Linked DNA regions of Astyanax mexicanus. The protein of the gene in region 2 interacts with the protein of the main gene of each other region in a biochemical or structural test. Links are inferred from orthologs where the notes say so. Each region holds a gene or a part of one and is shown on either strand. Other genes may lie near its edges. The genes, in order: apoa1b and lcat.

What was found.
Region 1: the proteins of lcat (region 2) and apoa1b form a complex in vitro, tested with the Homo sapiens proteins (6 studies listed by BioGRID and IntAct, with this or other methods). The link is inferred for Astyanax mexicanus from reciprocal best matches to the Homo sapiens genes LCAT and APOA1.

What each region holds. Positions count from the first base shown.
Region 1 is NC_064411.1:43,930,034-43,940,385, forward strand, and holds apoa1b (apolipoprotein A-Ib), read right to left. Parts: upstream 3,915-10,352; 5' UTR 3,850-3,914; intron 3,278-3,849; 5' UTR 3,271-3,277; coding exon 3,228-3,270; intron 3,099-3,227; coding exon 2,954-3,098; intron 2,861-2,953; coding exon 2,266-2,860; 3' UTR 1,908-2,265; downstream 1-1,907. UniProt on the Homo sapiens protein: Participates in the reverse transport of cholesterol from tissues to the liver for excretion by promoting cholesterol efflux from tissues and by acting as a cofactor for the lecithin cholesterol acyltransferase (LCAT).
Region 2 is NC_064417.1:7,192,052-7,202,333, forward strand, and holds the start of lcat (phosphatidylcholine-sterol acyltransferase), read left to right. Parts: upstream 1-5,577; 5' UTR 5,578-5,668; coding exon 5,669-5,816; intron 5,817-7,221; coding exon 7,222-7,378; intron 7,379-8,197; coding exon 8,198-8,313; intron 8,314-8,889; coding exon 8,890-8,985; intron 8,986-9,279; coding exon 9,280-9,504; intron 9,505-10,282. Other genes in the region: ccdc135 (dynein regulatory complex subunit 7), read right to left, coding at 1,469-1,635. UniProt on the Homo sapiens protein: Central enzyme in the extracellular metabolism of plasma lipoproteins.

The DNA.
Region 1 (10,352 bases), on a different chromosome or scaffold from region 2:
AAAATGGCGCTGCTGGGTTAGCTAGGGTAGCTAGCTAGCTAGCTAATTGTGTGACTAAAACAGCATGACTGAAATAAATGAATGACTAGAATAGCACTGCTGAGGTAAATGTGTTGTGCTTTTTTGGTAAGGTTTTAAGTGTTTAATACATATTTTTAAACTGGAGCTTTGAACGTGCATTTTGTTTGAGACAAAATAACATAAAAATACAATTAAATAGCTATTTAATTTTGTTCAATGGTGAAAAAAGAGGTAGAATTAATGAAAACCTGTGAAAAATGGTATTCACTTCGGTATTCAGTTTTGGATAAACATTGTAATTTCCGTCCATCTCTGATCTCTTTATGTATTTATTCATTGTGATTTATTGTGGATTATCATAGGTGAACCGTTATATATAAGGCTGAACACTTTGATTATACAAAATATTAATTAGGTTTACATTAATTAAGCTAAAAATAATTTATAAGAAATGAATGCTGTTTCCTAAAGTTGAACATAACATGAGGCTTAATATTTTGGCTGATCTGTGTCAAACACTGACAGGGTTTAAAAACAGCGTCTCCTGCATATCATTCATTGACCTCATGTTTTTAAGGATCAAGATGTGCTTATGGATCTCCTTGCCTAATGTTCATGGATAAAAAGATTATAGGGTGGTGTTGGCAAGACTTTGCCTGAGGCAGTTCATGAAGTTGTCTCATCCATCTAATACTAATAAGTACAAGATCTCTACCAAACATCAGGTCAGGATCTGTTCCAGGTGATTTATTATCCTAATAAAACCCATTAGTCTCCAACAAACGCATTTCATAGGTCCTAGTGTAAATTTTCTGTTTCTGTTTTCTGTTTCTTTTTATTTTATTTTTTTCCAATTTTTTAATCAACAGGATAATGGACAATAACCAATTGATCCCTATATTTATCATTAAGTTATTGTGCTGCTTTACATTTGACCTGATGTCGAGATCTTCAGGTAGAAAATTTTAATTCAAATGCCCCACAAGTTAGATTTCATATTTAAAAAAGTTAAGAGAGGCTCACCAATATTTTAAATGAATAGTATTATACTGTTTACTGTCACTTCTATCTATTTGCGTGTCATTAAATCAGTCGTACACACAACACTGTCCAGCTTCTATCTGTGGAATTGCTTGAATAGTGTTTGGTTGATACTGTTGTCAACTGGTATCGATTAGCAATGCTAACCTGGGATAATGCTAACAGTAGTAACCTGGGACATAATAAAGGAGTTTATATTTTAAATAGATTTGACACAAAAAAGGACTGTCAAACCCAGTTGTAGTAAAAGTCTTTAGTTGACAGTTTTTTGACAATAGTGTTTTGAAGTAGTGTTCAATTGTCATATTCTTAGTCTTAATGCAGAAACTATTTTGTGTGTGTGTGTTTAATAATAGTTTGTTTAGCACATCTTGAGGAGTAATGAAAGTGAATATGCACTGGGGACAGTTTTGTTGGTCTACAAAGTCTTGTACGTCCCATTCTCTCTGAATAATTATGCATTACTTTATTCTGTTGAATGTAAAGGCTGTTTTAATTGGAAACTGTTTTTTAAAGATATTTGTATTATCATATTAAAGTAGTAGTAGTAAATTTATGTAGAATTAACGGAGCTAGAGAAAGTTTATGAGCTTTCTTGTCATTAATGGGGCAAAATAACCAAACAAATGATCCATGTCTAAAACCAAAGATTCTGTCATTTTGATTTTGCAGTTTTACAGCTAGAGAAAATATGATTTTATGTCCAAATAACCCTTAATTCACACATTTTATGTACCACCGTATGCCTAATAAATAATGTTAAACTGCTCTGCTAATGTTTAATGTATTGATGAGAGCCAAAGCTGAAGGACACCTTAAAAAAACACTTAAGACACAAAAGGAAGTTGTATGAAACAGTCTATTTTTATTGAGCCATTGTTTTGGCACACTTTTTAACAACACAGAAGCACAGCGAAAGGTATTTTTTAGCCAGGCGTTAAAGAATGTTGCACAAAAACAGGTCTTGCATATACTTAAGCATGTGTTTGCTTTAAGTGTCATCAAAAGCTTGGCCAATTGTAAGACAGGCAGTAAAAGTCCTTTGCTGCATCAGCGCGTGGTGTGAGTAAGTAAGTGTGTGATGGAAAGAGTCCTTTTGTATGATAAAGCCTTACAGACTTGGTGTTAGTAACAGGGTTTGGAAATGTAGGAAAGGGTTGAAAGAGGCTGTGATTTGGTGGGAGAGGTGTAGGATAAGAAGGTTTATGCCATGAAGGCCTTTTGGAGGGTTTCCACAATCTTCTCCAGCTGGGGCTTGATCTCTTCTCCCACGGTGGCCAGCTTCTTTTGCAGCTCTCCAGATTCGTACTTGGACTGCAGCTGTCCGAAGACGCTTTGTGCGTGGTCTCTGTACTCCTGGACGTAGGGGGCGACAAACTGCCTCAGCTCTTCCACGCGCTCGGTTGCCTTGCTACGCAGGACCTCCACGATGGGGGTCAGCTTGGACTTGGTCTCCTCCAGGTTGGTCTTGATCCTTTCCTGCAGATCCTTCATCACGGGCTCCATCTTGACGCGGAGCTGCTCCATCTGCTCACGGTGTTTTTCTGTGAACTCCTTGATCAGGGGCTCCAGCTTCTCACGGTACTCATCGAGGTGTTTCTTCACCACCTGGCGCAGCTCCTCGCGCTTGGGCTCCAGCTCTTTGCGCAGATCCTCAACATCTTTCTCAACCTTGGCGCGGAGAGCAATGACGCCTTCCACTACTTGGGGACCGATGGTCTCTCTGACTGGAGCAAGGGAGGTAGAAGCAGCCTCAAGGTAGCCTTGGATCCTTTGCAGGGACAGGGTGAGGCGCTCCCTGTGAAGAAGACAAGAACAAAGATCTTATAGTTACTGTTAGTCTTTAGAGTAATAAATGAGTAGGCCTGGAAAAATAAGCTTAATCTCTTACTTGACTTCCTTGTAGTCACCATCATCAAGACGGTCGATGGCTTTCTGAGCTGTCTCCTTCACCTGACCCAGGTATGTCACAACTGCAGACCTAATCTGTTCATAGTCAGTTGGTGCATCTGCCTGCATGTAGCGGGCCTGGCAACCTGAACAAGCAGGAAGAGGAGGACGAATTTAGACTAAAGATTTTGAACATGCTGCTGGAACAGACATACTGGACTAGGTATTGTTTAAACCTTTTATTATCAGTGTTGGCAAATTGGAACATTTTTTACCTGCGGCCAGAAGAATGGTCAGTGCTAGAGCCACGAACCTCATGATGGATCTGTGAAGAGAAGCAACAAATATTGCAGGTCAGCATCTTTTAAAGAGCTTTGAAGAGCAACAACACATCTTTGACAATTATTACCTAAAGCCTGATGAAACTAGAGAAACTCTCAAGCCGTCCTGAATGAGTTCAGTCTACAGCATATGTCAAGCCTATCAACCTACACTCTAATCCAGACTGGATATAACAGAGCTGCATGGAGTTACAAAGGCTTCACTACCAGATTAGCTCTTAACCATGGGATAATCTTCAATCCCCAAGATTACTCTTGGACAGCCAGGGAGGATTTGTCCCTATCCTGGGGTGACTCTTTAGGAGGCCTTTGCAAAGAATTAAAATGCTATTGGGAAAAATGTAAATGTTGTTCTAAATTGTGATTTTAGCCAGTCTTTCACAAATTAGAATTGTCTTTTAAACAACTCAAGTATAAAAACTAAAACTTAAAAAGTACAATGTCCTACAACAACTGCCTCTATACAATATATAAGTTTTCAGTGCGTAAAATCTTCAACTCTTCAGCCGTGGCTGTCCAGTGAAAAAGTGCCGGTTCCCTTGGCTCAGCTGCTTACCTGTTGATGATGCTGGTCTTGGAGAGACTGATGAGCCTGAGGTGGAGATGGATGTTTTATAGGGCCCCGGGGAGTGGGAGGGAACACTGTGGGGAGTGAGTTTGCCTCTGTGGAGTTGGACCTCACCCCCTCTCTGATTCACTGGACGAGTTGGGTACAATGGTCACCTACTGAGTAGAGGGGGAGGTTGTCATCGATAGAAGCACAAAAGTGCTGTGGAGATGTTTATGTTCAGTTTCTTCTGCTTTTTGGACGTTTTTCGTGCAGATAAGAACGTGAACATGTTTTTGTGTATTTGTGTAAACACTTGGTAGAATATTGACTTAAAAAGGTTTTGCATCATTCAAAAACATACTATTTGTGCATACTTCCTTTTAGAACTTTTTGATCCATTGTACTATTTACTCATCTGTCGCTTATACAGATAATATAATATTCTTTAAATGACCATTGCACACTTCTGTAACTCGATTAGAACCTATATAGTTTGCTCTGTTTTCATTGTAGTAAAGGCATAAGGCCATAAAGGGGGTTCAATGCTTGTGGCAGTGGAGAACCATTATTTCTATAATTATATATATCTATCCTCCAGCTTGGTAAAAATTGGATACTTTTAAAAAAAATTAACTTTAGCATGAAAAAAGCACATTTTTAATGCTTTTTGAGTGTGAAAGTTAAATAAATCAAATTATGTTGCAGATAATTGGGTCAAATGGTTTAGAATGTTAAACCTGTTCTTTACAGGTTGGAATCATTTGAAGAAATGACTTGAAATTACTTGAAAATGACTTAAATCACCTTAATTAAGTTAACATCTAAAATATCTTGTATCTCCAATCCAATCTCAATGCACATACCCTTACAGTGCATTGTTTAGTTTTTTATATTTTATATTTAGAACATACTTTAAAATATTGATTAAATTATCTTATTGCCTTTTATTTCATAATTTTATATGTTCATTTCTAACTCATTATGATTGCAAATAAAATTTAAATAACCAGAACTTTATGTTCCCAACAAAATCTGTGCACACAAGCTTGTAAATTTGCATGGCCGTGAACAGGCAGGCCATTAGTCTTGAGTGGGAGCATTGAGTAAACTGATAAAAAAAAAATGCAAACACATCTACTGCAGTAAAATTCAATGATCAAATCAGTGGCATTAGAGGGGAATCTCCTTCTTTCATTTGTTTTTTTTTTATCCCTCTGTCTTTTCTTTATCAGGGTAAAAGATCCAGCGCTCTCCTGGGTTCTCTGATAAGGTTCTGAAAGGGCATTGGGTACAGACCCGCACCATAAAGCAGTGTCGTAATCTTCATGGTACACTCTGTTACCATATCGCTGCATTAGAAAAAGCTGCCAGACTGCTCTGCATGCTGTGGCAAAATGACAAATGGGTTAAAGGGTCAGTTGAGCTGTCCAGTGTGTGTGTGGACTTTGTCTGTCACTACAGATTTAATGCAATTTTGAAGATATACGTACTGGTTTTTACACAGTAAAGGGATTTTAAGGCATGATGGAAAGGTTTATTTCTTAGTTGTATTTTTAACATACTAAAAAAAAATTAAACTTTATAACCCTGAGATCACACCTTGTAGCCTGGATGCATGTAGAAGCTAAAATCCTATCAGCAATTAGAAGCTTTCTATAACATTAGCATTCAATCTACTGGAATTAGGACAGAAATTAGCAGAAAATGTATCAATGCACTTTTTCAGCCTTCCTGATGAACTCTATGCTTAATCATTAACCTACAAAAGCAAAGAGAAAATCAGCAGAGCAAATTCATGGAATTTAAGATGGACTCCAGGGACACTATCCAAAATGCTCTGCCTATGTGGGAGTATGACGTCTGAGTCAGCAGAACTGCAGTTGACTATTAATATATAGGACAAATATGGAACCAGTCCATCCGTTTTAAATCCATTTGGACCCCTGAACATAGTGTCACACGTATGTAAGAATATAAGTTCAAAAGTGCAGAAAAAAAGTGCAAAGTCAAACGTCAGACCATTACTTAACCGCTCATCCCTGCTTCAATACTGCTAATCAATTTCAAACACTGTCCTTGTACTTTAGCCTTCTAGATTCAGTTCATGTTTTTAGAGTTGAGGATACCAAGCAAAGTGTTTTAGTTATTATTTTTTCCCTATCTTCTCCCAAACACATAAGGTGTGCAATAGCACATGGCTGTCATTGTTATTTTCTGTTTTTAAATTCTCCACGCATTCTCTATTGGGGACAGGTCAGGACTGCAGGACTTCTTGAGAAATGCATGGGTGCACATGGAAAAGATGTTGCAGCGTATGTAACTGCAAAATCTCAATGTAATTTTCTGCCATAGTTAATCGCAGAAGTGTACTTACACTCAAATTAAGTCCGGATAGTCCATTTAGTTAAAAATGATCTGGAATAATGATTCATCAAACCACAGTACTCATGTCCACTGTGTAATGGTCTATCTGGATACTTTTGTGACCAGAGAAGTTGATGCCTCTTCTGAACATGGTTAACATAAGGCTTGCAGTGGCATAAACATAAAGTTGTAAGTGTCATTTGTGGATGTAACTCCATTGTAGTGTTTGAGAAATATTTGCCAAAGGAAGTCCTACCAATGTTTATCTATCAGCTATTGTTGAATACAGGTTCTTGGTGCAGTGCTGTCAGAGGGTATAATGACATTTTAGTAATACTGGCAAACTGAAGATTCTCAACCCATCCTTGCTCCTTAAATATTCAACCTGTGATTTCATGCTGAAGAGATAAAAATACTCTAAAATGACTTGAATTTAAATAAAGTTTAGAACATTTTCTCTCTCCTGATAGATAATCAAGCTTGTACTGTATACGGGAATGTTTCTCAAAGACAGGCCGTCCGCTGTAACAAAGCATTAGCTTTCAATTGCAAATGAGTTCCCTCCCTCCTCGCTGATCCTGAGATGGCTCTGCACTTGATTACAGTGTCCCAAATCCCCAAACTTTCTCTTCACTTCACACGACTTTTATAACCAGGCTCACACCCCCTCTCCTTAATCCCCTCCACAATTCACCCGCAACCTTTCATTTTCCATTCTTCCTGCCAGTAAAACACCGGCTCCCTGCTGAGCGCATTTCTAAACACAGTGTCAATAGCTCTGTTCACTCCTTTAACTCAGCGTGGATCAGGAGACGACTGGCCAATTGGCCCCATTTGTCAGATCAGTTAAATGATAGTGGTGAAGGTTGAGTTGATCTTGTAGTTGTTATCTCTGTAATTACAGTAAGATACAGTAAAATATCATGCATCCTTTACTTTCCTTATTTATACGTATATATTTGTACGTTTATATGTCTAGAGTTAAAACAGGGTGTTTGGATAACTGTTACTTATTTTCTTGACATTTAATCTCCACCATTCGTTTTATTACTTTAATTCTTTTATTCGTGCCTTTATAATGATCAAAGGCTCAGTTTACAATTTAAATATCTAGATAACGGGAATATCTTAATTTTTTAAATTATTTTATTTATTTATTTAGTGTTTTTTGTACAGCTTTCTTTTTTCCAGCTATGGATAAGGTACCCAACCCATGTTCTTGAGTTAAAGCAGAGACACACAAAGTAAAAGTAGAAGTCCTCCTTTAGACCTCCACTCGAGTAAAAGCACAAAAGTATTTGCTTTTAGATGTACATAAAAATTATTAATTTAAAAGTATCATATTTTGTTATGGGTGTAAAGTAGGTCATGATCCATATAGAGTATAAAAATTATTTAAAAAGTTATTAATTTAAAAGTATCATATTTTGTTACGGGTCTAAAGTAGGTCATGACCCATATAGAGTATAGTCATATGATAAGCTTTGGACGCTACTGTTGAAATGCACTTTCATGCAAAAATGCTTTTTGATAATAAAAAAACTATATATGGCTTTTTTTTATTGATATTCTTTATATAAACAATAACCCCCAAATGTGTCTTAAGAGCTATCAGAATTTTTTTTTTCTAAAGGGATTTGTAGTTATGTTCATTTACCAATGTAAAAATTGCATTTGCCAAACATTTAAGAGCGTACAACATGCTAATCTAAGTGTAGAACTGAATGTAGTGTGGACAGTATTCTACTGGAGGACTGATAAAACAAACCTTTGGTCTGGCATTATCTCAGTTAGACACCAATGTCATCACTGAGAATAAATATTAGAACTAGTATCAGTTTCTTCTTTTAAACAACTGCCCTGCTGTTTTTATTGGTGCTAATTGCACTGTGTTATAATAGGATTATTCAGTCATTATTCAGGGTTAAAGACAGTACATTCAGTACTGGTTGCAGTACATTTCCCCAATATCTCCTAAATACCTAAGGAAAATGGTGGTCTTAAACATTGAAAACAGGATAAAGGAGCATAATAAAGTTTCAGCTTGAAATCTAAGGACTCCCCATATCAAACTACATCTAGCACTGCTTCAAGGTGACATCTTTGTTAGAGACTTCCAGGCATTTTTTTAACAAAACAATGCAAAGCCACATGCTGCACACATTACAAAAAAGAAATGACTGCAGACCAAGAGGGTACAGAACTGGGCTGGCCTAACATTTAAATGTAAAACACTTAGGGTTAGCAATGTTATTTTATTATATTATTTTGTTATTTTATATTCTGTTTATTGTTGAGTTAAAAGTCAGGTTAGCGTGTCTGTGTGTGTGTTTGTTTAAAAAGCGAGGGTGTACGGGTGCTGGCGCACCTATAGGAGTGAAATCTTGACAGTTAAACTATAGTCTAGGTTTGTTTCAGTAAGTGGCGCACCTGTGTTTTCCACTGTCAGGTTAGCGTTTAGCCGCTAATTCTAATGCTCCAGCCTTAGTGCTGTTGAATCCGGTAATCCAAGCTTACTGTAAATAAACAAATGCGCTTTACTGACCCAAATAAACAGTTTTCAGGAGAGATATCTGTGTAGATTAACATCCAGTGCTCGTTTGACTTTAAAAGAAGGTCATTTTTTATTACAACTTTGTTTACTTAGCTTAGCCTGCACCCTGCGCAAGGCACTTCACCATGCTCTTTGTTACCATACACCAAGTCAACAGTCTATTTTTGAGTCTTACACTTGCGCCGTCAAAACAGCAAAGGAGTTTAGCAATACCCTATTTTTCGCAGTATAGAGCGCATCGGGTTATAAGGTCCACTATTAACTAAACTAGCTAAGTTAATAGTGCACCTTATAACCCGACACAAGAGGAGCACATTGGAGCACACTTGTATAAACTACAATAGCATGGAAAAAGTAGAGCAAAAGTCACTTTGAAAGCATCTTTGCAGGGTTAGATTAGGTTTTTGGAAGGTGATGTGTGGGTGCCAATCATGGATGTCACGTGACCCGTGGGCGGAGGAATAGAGAGAAACTATGGCGCAAAACAAGAGACCATGGTCCACCACCTACACAACGACACACCGAGAACAGAACAAGATTTCATACAAAATTATTGTCAATAGATTAGTTGATTAAATATATATATATACATTGGTATATATTTGGCATGTGTTTCTTTCACATTCATTTTAATTCAGTGTTGCATGGATATTTCAATGAAAATGGCTGGAATTGCTGTCGTTCTGTTTAAACATGATGTTCCATTCACTGGATTCTTGGTGGACTTAGAGGTTTTCAATGCTAATATTTAGCTTGGCAGTTCATGATGTCCAGCTACCCTAAAGCCACTAAACGTTTTTTTAAACAAACGCCCACGCTTGAACTGATTTAAGAGAACTTTGCAACGGCCTTAATCGAACTGTCCCTTTGACACAGATACTCAGCAAAGTCCCCATGCAAATGCTGCATTACATAATGGTAAAAATGACCATGCAAAAAAAGAAATATTAAGATATTAAAAAAATATTAAATGATCAGTTCTCAACTTATTGGCATTGAAAAAAAAACATATCTAAGTAAGGAACCAGCAAAGCAAAGATTTGTCCGTGTTTTTAAAAGCTCTGTAAAATTATCTGATGTGTGAATTAGCTTTAAGATGCGTTTTGAGATTTTTCAGAATGGTGAGTCGCAAAAAAAAAAAAAAAAAAAATCATACACAGCATGTTAGCAAAATGCAAAAAAAAAAAAAATCCTGCATAAAATTTTAACTTAAATTAACCTCCAAGAACGTCTGTTCCAGCTAATGGTGAAGCTGGACTTCAGACTGCAGGTCAAATGACAGGACGGTTGGGACACACACTTCTGGACAGAGGATAAATCTTCACATTTTTGTTCCAGAATGTATTAAAATTGAATGTATTACTGTGTATGGAAACACTGTTACAGCTACACTCTGGAGGAGCTGTTGTGGAGACTGGAGGGGTAAAAGTTGGATGTAAATCATACATCATCAGTAGTGGACCTCACTTTTGCTCTTATGGCTGAAAGCTATAAAATCCATGCAGCAATGTTTGTAAGCAGTATCTTAAGTAAAGCCTTCCCAGAAGAGTTTTTATGTGGTTACTGCATCAAATTGTCATGTTTAATTAAT
Region 2 (10,282 bases):
CTGTCTAAAGAAGTGTTTGACCTCTAAAACAAATAAGTGGATTGTGCCACCCTTGAGGCAAACACTTTTTTTTTTTCAAAGGGCTAGATTGGTTTGGATCAGGTTTTGCCCTTAATAAATTAAATCACTGTCTATAATAGAAAGAGAGCACTCATCTTTATTGATCTCTCTAAAGCTTTGGATACAGTCAATCATTCCTCACTTTTAAAGAACCTACACTGTTTTGATTATAATGCTACAGATTGGATCAGCAATTTCCTTTTTACGTATAACACCAGCAGATGACATGGTTCTTTACTCTTCCTCCAGACTCCTTTGATTTCCAAATGAAATGTAAAATTTACTGATGGTCAGTGATGGTTTGGAGAGTCATGTCATCTGCTGGTGTTGATCCACTGTGTTTTATTATTATCAAGTCTAAAGTCAGTGCAGTTTTGTTTTCCCACAAAATCTTACAGCACTTCATGCTTCCCTCTGCTGACAACATTTATGGAGATGTGGATTTCATTTTCCAGCAGGACTTGGCACACTGCCCAGAATGCCAAAAGTACCAATTGGTCTTATATAATATTCTTGGGTTTTTATTGGCTGTAAGCCATAATCATCAACAATAAAAAAAAAACTTAAAATATATCACTCTGTGTGTAATAAATCTATATAATGTAGTAAGGTTTTACATTTTGAACTGAATTACTGAAATTAAGTAACTTTTCAATGATATTCTAATTTCTGAGATGCACTAGTATATACTACGGCATATGGCTATAGAACAAAATGCACTTTTAAGCAGCATGTTAACATGCTTACAGGCAAACTTAAGCAAAAATGCAGCTTCCTATATCAAAACAACATGTGTTTCCCAATTAGCATAAGAAGATTAATAAAGCAACACTGTTGTTTATTCTGGATTGTTTTAGATTTTGTGAATCACTCTGCTTTAAGGTTTTTTATTGGTGACCTAGATTTTATACAGCAAGCATCACTGTGTAAAAAGGTTGAGTGATCTTCTCTTTCATTAGGAAACACATAAAATTCTGTCAGAATCTTACTTTCAGCTATATATTACTTATTATTAGACTACTAAAGAAAAGCAACACTCATTAGGTGTGTTGTTAACTTGACCACCAGATGTGAGGCCATGTTTTCATCATGCTTGAAATCTGGACTTCCTATGGTTTTCTCAAGACCACAACATGCTAAGAGCATGCTAAAGCCACTGTTTGCTATCTTAACACACATGTTGACCTTTAGTAACCCCATACTCAATACACAGCCTATTGATTTTTGTTTGGGTGGTCTTCCTGAGTGTGTTTTCCCCCTCAGCACAGCGTGTATGAGACATTACATCTTCATGTTTGCAGTCAGTGATTGTGTAATGCAAACAGTCGGGGTGGCATAACCATGATACCGGCTCACTTTAACACAAGCACAGAGTTTACCAAGCGCCAACGAACTATAGTAACCTCACAGTTGGGCTGCTGAGGGGGCTATCTGCACTTTGGCCAGCGTCTCCTCCAGTTCCCGTAACTCGCTCAGACCTCCATCCTCTCCTCCCTCCTCCTCCTCCTGCTCTGCCTCCTCCTCCTGGAGCTCAGCTTCTTCCAGCTCAGGCTCGACCTCCGGCAGCATCTCCATCTACAAGGAGTGAAAACAAGGCACATGCTGCAGTCCAGGGGACCTGCCATCCCACCGATTCATGTTTTCAGGCTTTCATGTTTTCTAACACACCTGCTTTAGCTCTTGAACATAACTGGCAGATGGCAAGCATGAAAAACATTAGATAAGAGCAAAACTGTGCAAATACAGCAAGACCAAACTGTGTGAAAAACATACCTTTTGAAGAATATACGGTGCTGTGAAATAGTATTTGCCCCCTACAGATTTAGTTTAGCTTTCAGATTAACAAACACATTTTAATATAAAACAAATATAACATATATAAATATAAAAAGCAAAAATCTATCCAAACCAACTTGGCCCTATGTGAAAAAGTATTTGCCTCCAAATCTAATAACTTGGCTGTGCCACCCTTGGCATCAACTGCAATCAAGCATTTGCGATAAATGAATCTTTTTCACCCACTGTTCTTTGCAGAATTATTTTAATTCAGCCATACTGGAAGGTATTTGAGCATAAACAGCCTGTTTAAAATCAAGCCACATCACTTTTTTTTAAGCCATTCAGATGTAGACTGATATGCCTTGGATAATTGTCCTGCTGCACAACCCAAGTACGCCTACGCTTAAGGTCACAAACTGATGGCCAGGCATTCTCCTTTAGAGTTTTTGGTAGAGAGCATCATGGTTCATGGATTCATGGTTCCATCAATTATAGCAATTGTCCAGCTCCTGAAGAAGCAAAGCAATGTTCTTTGTGTTCTTGTTGGTCAGCAGTGGTTTTTGCCTTAGAACTCTTTCATGGACGTCCGTTTCACCCAGTCTCTTTCTTTTTATTGAATTATTAACATTGACCTTATCTGAGGCAAGTGTGATAGATGTCAATGACTTTACTTTGAATTTCTTTTTGATAATGTGTTGCTGCTATATACAGTACTAGTCAAAAGTTTGAACACACCTCTTCTCATTACACTTTTTTCTTTCTTTTTATATATATTTTTTTACATTGTAAAATTAATAAGATCACAGGATTTCATTTTCCAGGGGGTTTCATTGGCTGTAAGCCATAATCATCAACAACAAAAGAAAAAAACTCCTAAAATAGATCACTCTGTGTGTAATGCATCTTTATGATATATGTCACATTTTTAACTGAATTACTGAAATAATGTAATTTTTCAATAATATTATATTTTTTCAGATGTACCTGTATGTATGTATCTTATATGTATCTTATATTGTTTTTAACCAGAGCTCTGCTCTTGGAAAGATAGATTTTACTGTTTTGATAATTTAAATAAATACAAGTGCCCTGGTAAAAATCAGTACTTATACAGCTCTGGAAAAAAATAAAAGACCACCAGTTTCTTTGATTTTACCACATTGAAAACCTAAGAAATATACTCAAGAGGAAGATGGATGATCACAAACCATCAAACCAAGCTGAACTGCTTGATTTTTGTATCCAAACAGTTCAGCAAATAAATGGTCTAAATGACAATATTTTTATTTGGAATTTGGGAGAAATGTTGTCTGTAGTTTATAGAATAAAACAACAATGTTCATTTTACTCAAACATAAACCTATGCAAAATCAGAGAAACTGATTCAGAAACTGAAGTGGTCTCTTATTTTTTTTCCAGAGCTGTAACGTTATTTGTTAAATGTGAGTGAGACCCAAAAAAAACAGAATATCACAGCTAAATATATTTAGATTACAGACAGTTAGAAAACGTGCACACACTAACCCTTGTTTTACAATCTTCACTACATAGTAAAGCTGTATATAATACAGACTATTCTGGTTTACTATATGAGATATTTACGTTAGTATGAACCGCTTACCTTTTACTCCTCAGTAACGCTGGAACTGTTTATACTCGGTTTCCATAAGCGACAAAATCCCCGCCCATGGCCCTTCACCACCTAAACCAATCCGCGAGCCGCATTCTCCCAAAGCCCGCCCCTCCGGCGCTCACTCCTGTGCTTGGATTGGCTCGTGGATACTCACGAGCTCACGTACGTTAGATTTTAAAACATATTTAACCAATATTATTTTTTAAAATCACATATTTCACGTTTACTGTGCAAACATTTTGGCACATGTGAAAATAATTACAACTAAAATCTAAAACGATATATGAGAATAAATACTAAATGTTAACTCAAAAATATTTATGCTTAATAAAATATTTTCAAATCTCTCCTTATTAGGAGTCTGGTATTATTTATGGTTATCATGTAACACGTGTTTTAGTAATCAAAAAATGATATGTCGTATAATGAGTCCAAAATGAATGAAGCAACTGAGCAGGGTTTATAATTGTCTAATTATTTTCATACCCAAAATATACTAATTTCCACAACACAGAAAAATATACTAATTTCCACAACACAGAAAAATATAACATGTTTCAGCACCGAAGACAAACCTTTTAAACAATCAAATGATTATTAGTCATGTAGTAGTGTATCAGTTTACTCCTTAAGAATTTTCTCAATGCTAATGTAATCCATGACTGACTGGCCACACACACACACACACACACACATACAAAGGATGTATCAGGAGCGGGAACCGTGTCAGACAATAACAGAATAAAGATTGCTGTTTAATTTTGTGTGTGTAAAAATAGATTATAAGAGACACTCTTCTCGTATGGAGGTGACATCATGTTAAAATAAAACAATGTGTGGCCACGACTTAGTAAGGCATGGGAATGAGATCCTAAGGCGTGGCCACGGCTTATAATAATTAAGTCGAATAATAAAGCTTGCTGTTCTGTAAATAAATGCCCATGAAGAAACTGAATATTACATCAAAGCTCCAATCCAAGGATAATCTTTTGTAAGAAAACGGAGAGTGGATTGGTTTCTATATATTTTCATCTTGGAATGAATTATAGTGATATTTAGATTTATACTCTTGCAGTGAGACTGGGCTAATTCTAAGTAAAAGGCCCATATTTCTCATCTCATACACGTTTATCTATCTTAGGCAGTCATACTGTGCCAGTTGTACAGAATAAATTTGCCATAGCACTTTAAAGCATTTGCTGCTTGTATAATTTAATAAGAAATGTTATCTGTGTTCTGCACACGTGAAAAAATAATGTGTAATTTGACCAAATTCAATCAAATCTGAGAAAATTTTTCAAAGTGACAGAGAAAAACTGTAATTTGAGTTCTTAGCCATTTAGCTCCATTTAGCACCCATTCATTTTGAACTCCCTCGCGGGCTCCCTCTAGCGGTTTACAGTCATTTTCTAATATAACGGGGAGATTGCACGTGGGTAGTCTATTCTCTGCATTACCCATCTCTCAGCAGAGTGAGAGTACTACAGGAGTATTAATGAACCTAACATTCATCCCAGCTGTAAATGATTAACTGCCCAGTAGTACGATCAATAGAGCCAGGACACTGGTTCTGTGCGACAGATCCCAACGAGAATGCATTACTGTTAAGGTTTTTTTTTTAAAAGCAGTCAGAAAAGTTCATTTTGGTTCATGTGGTTAAATAAGGTTTGGTTTAGGACTCCAGGGGTGTTTATATAACAGTGTGTGTGTGTGTGTGTGTGTGTGTGTGTGTGTGTGTGTGTGTGTGTGTGTGTGTGTGTGTGTGTTTGGGGGGGGGGGGGGGTTCTAAGGACAAAAAAGAAACACTGAAAGTAAAAAGATGCAGCTGCTCCTTCTTGATTTCCTACAATAATATTAGAATATTATATTCGAATATAATGATAATATTAGTTATTCTACACCAATTGTAAATATTAAAATATCACTGCATTGGCTATTATATTTATGTTCATAGCCTGCAGGGCAATAATTATAAAAACGAAAGAGAGAAAAGATATAATATAATATATATATATATATATATGTGGTATTTAAGCGCGTTTCTTGTTGTGTCCTGTCCGGCTCATATTTACCTGCTGCGCTGACCTCATCGCCCCCTGGCGCTCCCTCAGCATTAAAACTCCTCCACTGCTCCGGGCTCAGACAGAAAGTCAGCCCAGCCCGTTACCGGAGAGCCAGCCACACGGAGAGGAAATCATGCAGGGCTCGCGTGCGCTGAGCTCCGTGATCATCGTTCTGATTGCCCTTCATCAGTGTTCAGCCTTCTGGCTTCTGAACGTGATCTTCCCCCCTACAGCCAAACCTCGTGTACCAAGTAACAGCACACTTCCACCACTCATCATAGGTAAGATAACGCTTTGGTAACATAGTAGATATAGTTTAGTAACATCATAGTGTGACAGCATTTATGTTTGGGTTTGATGCCATAGCTGGAAATGCTTTGATGGCATAGCCAGACACAGTTTGGTGACATTCCTGTACATAGTTTATTGACATTAGTGGATATAGTTTAATACCATTGCTTGATAGAGTTGGGTGACATTGCTGAATGTAGTTTGAATGCATAGCAAGACATGGTTAGGTGGCATTGCTGAAAAAAGTTTGATGGAATAGCCAGACATAGCTTGCTGGCATTGCTGAATAAAGTTTGATTAAATAGCCAGACATAGTTGGTGGAATTGCTGAATATAGTTGGGTTGCAATGTTGGACATAATTTGATGGCATAGCCAGACATAATTTGGTGGCATTGCTGGATATGGTTGGTTGACATTGCTGGACATAGCCAGACATAGTTTGGTGTCATTGCTGAATGTAGTTTGAATGCATAGCAAGACATGGCATTGCTGGAAAATGTTTGATGGAATAGCCAGACATAGTTTGGTGGCATTGCTGAATATAGTTGGGTGACATTGCTGGACATAGTTTGATGGCATTGCTGGATAGATTTTGGTGGCATGGACAGACACAGTTTGCTGACATCCTTGTACATATTTTTTGGTGGCATACCTGTATAGAGTTTGGTGACATTGCTGGATATAGTTGGTGACATCAGAGGATGTGGTTTGGTGGCATTGTTGGACATAGGTTGATGGCATAGCCAGTGGTGGCATGGCCAGACACAGTTTTTTGTAGATAAATTGGTGGCATTGCTGGATATGGTTTGGTGTTATTACTAGAAATAGATTGGTGGCATTGCCTGTTATGATTTAATGCTATTGCTGGACATAGTTTGATGACACTGCTGGGCATAGTTTGGTGACATTGCTGGAGTAAGTAGGGTGGCATTGCTGGACATTGCTGCTGTTGCCGGATAAAGTTGGTGGCATTGCCAGACACAGTTTGCTGACATTTCTGTACATAGCTTGGGGACACTACTAGAGTAAGACAGTTTGGTGTTGGTGGCATTGCTGGACATTAGTGCCTTTACCAGACATAGTTTGGAAGCATTGCCAAACATAGTTTGGTGGACTAGCTGGACATTGGTGCCATTACCAGACATAGTTTGAAGGTTTTGCTGGACATGGTTTGGCAGCATTTTTCGTTATAATTTGTTGGCATTGCTGGATATAGTTTGGAGGCATTACTGGACATAGCTTGGCAGCATAGCTTGAACTGGTTTGGTGGTAGTCCTGGACATAGATTGGTTCCACTGCTGGAGCCACTATGTTCTGTAGTGAAAATTCATGGGCTATGAAAATGTCTCATTTGAACTATTACTCTCCTGAACTCCTTGACCCTGATGATTTAGTGCCTGGGAATTTGGGAAATCGCCTTGAAGCGAAGATTGACAAGCCTTCACTGGTCCACTGGTTATGCTACAAGAAATCTGAGGACTGGTTTCCCCTGTGGATCGACCTCAACATGTTCATGCCTATTGGTGTTGACTGCTGGATTGATAACATGAGGTGAGGAATTGAATAGCACATCTTACATAGGTTAAAATGTAGGTATTTTAAGAGTTAAGGGTTTGATATGTTAATATCAATATAATAATATTTATTTTCTTACACTTATGTATATTTGTGAGAAAAGAAAGCTGCCAGCTCATTTGGGCTATGATAACTCAATCCAGGTGGCCTTCATATGGATGGTCCTAACTCACTCCCATGACACCACCACATTCTTTCCCTAATACCCTAGGAAAGGTCAGTGCACATGTATAGCATCCCACTGGGGACTGGCAGATTTACCATCTTTCCCACTCGCAAAACATCCCTAAAAGTGTAAGAATTCTGGCAGGGATCAACATGGCACTGGTTCTTAAAAAACCTTCACTGATATATTTAATAACCTTGTGCTACCTAACTCACACTGGAAATGGAGAACCAGTTTTTTAGGCCCAGATTAAATTTAGTATGGTGGTAAATCACCAAAAACAGTCCCTACCCAAAATATTTTGGGTAAGTAAACTGCAATGTGGAAGGTGTTCTACAATTAAAACTCCCATTTAGTTTAGGTTTAGGTTTAGTTTGACCAGAAACCATCTTTACAATTCAAACACTGTCCCATCTGTCCATTGAATAATGCTTTTTTGACTGGCAGGTACAGGGGTAAATGCCCAGCTATCAGATTTTATGGCTGCCCTCCAGTTGCTGAAGCAATTAACCTTTTGTCTGTTGTTTTTGGATAGTTCTCAAACAGCAAACATGATGACGACAAATGGACCCCAGTTGACAACATTTCACAAAAAAATGACTCACTGTGTGTCTTTCTGTACAATGTAGGATTGTGTACAATCGGACAACTCGTAAAACCTCCAATGCTCCAGGGGTTGAAGTTCGGGCCCCAGGCTTTGGGCAGACATACACTGTAGAATTTCTAGACAACAACAAGTTGGCAGGTGAGTGGAGCAACAGTATTGCATATCTGTGTTAGGGTTAGTGGAATAAAATGACATAAATTGCATAACCCATTGCATTTCCCCCATATTCCATAAGTGGCTGGCCAGACAAAACATGTCTGATGACTGAAGCTAAGCTGGCATTTTTAGTTTAAGTAATGGAACTCTGGATCTCTAACTATGTGGAGTTGTTAAGTAATCTCCAGTTGACTTGCATGTGTGTTTTTTCACTATGTATGATGTTTACATTTAGTTTTAGTTTTTAGTTTTAACAATTATAGAAATATAGAATTAAATGTAACTTCACAGGTTTTATTATTTGTTTGGAAAATAAATTACTGAGTAACATCAATACATTTACATACATTTTAATATGTAGTTCAATGTACTTAAACATGTAGATGTACTTAAATCTACATAACACATAATAAACTGATCTAACAATGTATTATTGAAGTATTGTCAGTTGAATTAAACTCAACTTAAAAAGTATACAATGTACTTTTCTATAACAGAATATAGGTCTTTCCCTTTAGCCTTGTCATTTTTTTAATGCTGATGTGTCTCTGTTGCTAGGTTATTTTCACACCATGCTTCAACATTTGGTTAATATGGGATATGTGCGTAACGAAACCGTTCGAGCAGCACCATATGACTGGAGGATTGCGCCAAGTGAGGTTACATTCAAACACACACCATGCAAACAGTTCTCTTCTCCCACACACACAGTTCATTCTTTGTCCATCTAGCTTCTCTGACCTGATCTGTGGAACGGAACGGGTTCATTTTATTAATTTTCATTTATCTCTCTAATTCACCACATTACCTCCACCCTGACTCTGACTCATAGTAACATGTATTGTGACCTTACTTTACACACACACACACACACACACACACACACACACACACACACACACTAGATTTTGCAATGTTCTTACACTGTGTGTGTCTGATGTGTTCCAGATGAGCAGGATGAATATTTCTCACAGTTAAAGCGTCTGGTGGAGGAAATGCATGACGAATACAAGCAGCCTGTTCACCTGCTGGGTCACAGCATGGGCAGCAACTATATCCTCTACTTCCTCAACCAGCAGAGCAAGGCCTGGAAAGACCGTTACATTAAGAGCTTCATCTCACTGGGAGCGCCGTGGGGTGGAGCAGTGAAGCCCCTCAGAGTATTAGCCTCAGGTAATAAAAAAGGTCACTGGCCCTCACTGTTCATTAAAATAAATTTCTTTTTTAAACCAAGTTATGCAGTTTTCAGAAAGATTCTTACTACTGTTTGTTTCCCTTACTTTTTGGGTCAGGAAAACTTTTTACCAATTTGGATTATTATGCTCCACCCACTTTAATCCATTGCTAATTTTCATATTATGCAAAACCTACGTTTGCAAACTAGTCATAGGATTTTTAGACATACAAGCACCTGAACCATAATTATTGTGTGAAGGCTAAAAATGCTTTTTTTTCCAGCAATTTTACATCAGATCAGGCTAATATTTTGCGTTCACTAATGGTGTCAGACAACAAGTGGGTTATATAAATTATAGGATAATACATTACTGGCACCTTTCCCTCTTCGAAAACACCCACCAGGGCTCCAGCCACTAGATCATTTGAAGAGTTGTCTGATTTTGGTCTGCAGGTTGAGAACCTCAGACAGTACTCAGCAGGATTACCCAACAGACTTTGTCTGAGGAAGGGATCTGTACCAGCAACAGCTTTTTTGCATAAAAAAGACAGAACCATTAAATAGCTAATTCTGAATGGGACTGAAACTGTCAGGAATAGAGCTGGTGTGATCTCTTTATGTGAGAGTTATTTTTCTATGCAAAACAACTTAATGCATATGTTTTATTTAGCCCATAGACCTTTTTTAACTTGTGTAAAAAGTGCCTTACATAAATTACTAAAGTCACTATAGCACTCAATATGTTGAAGTAACATTATTATCCTACTACAGATC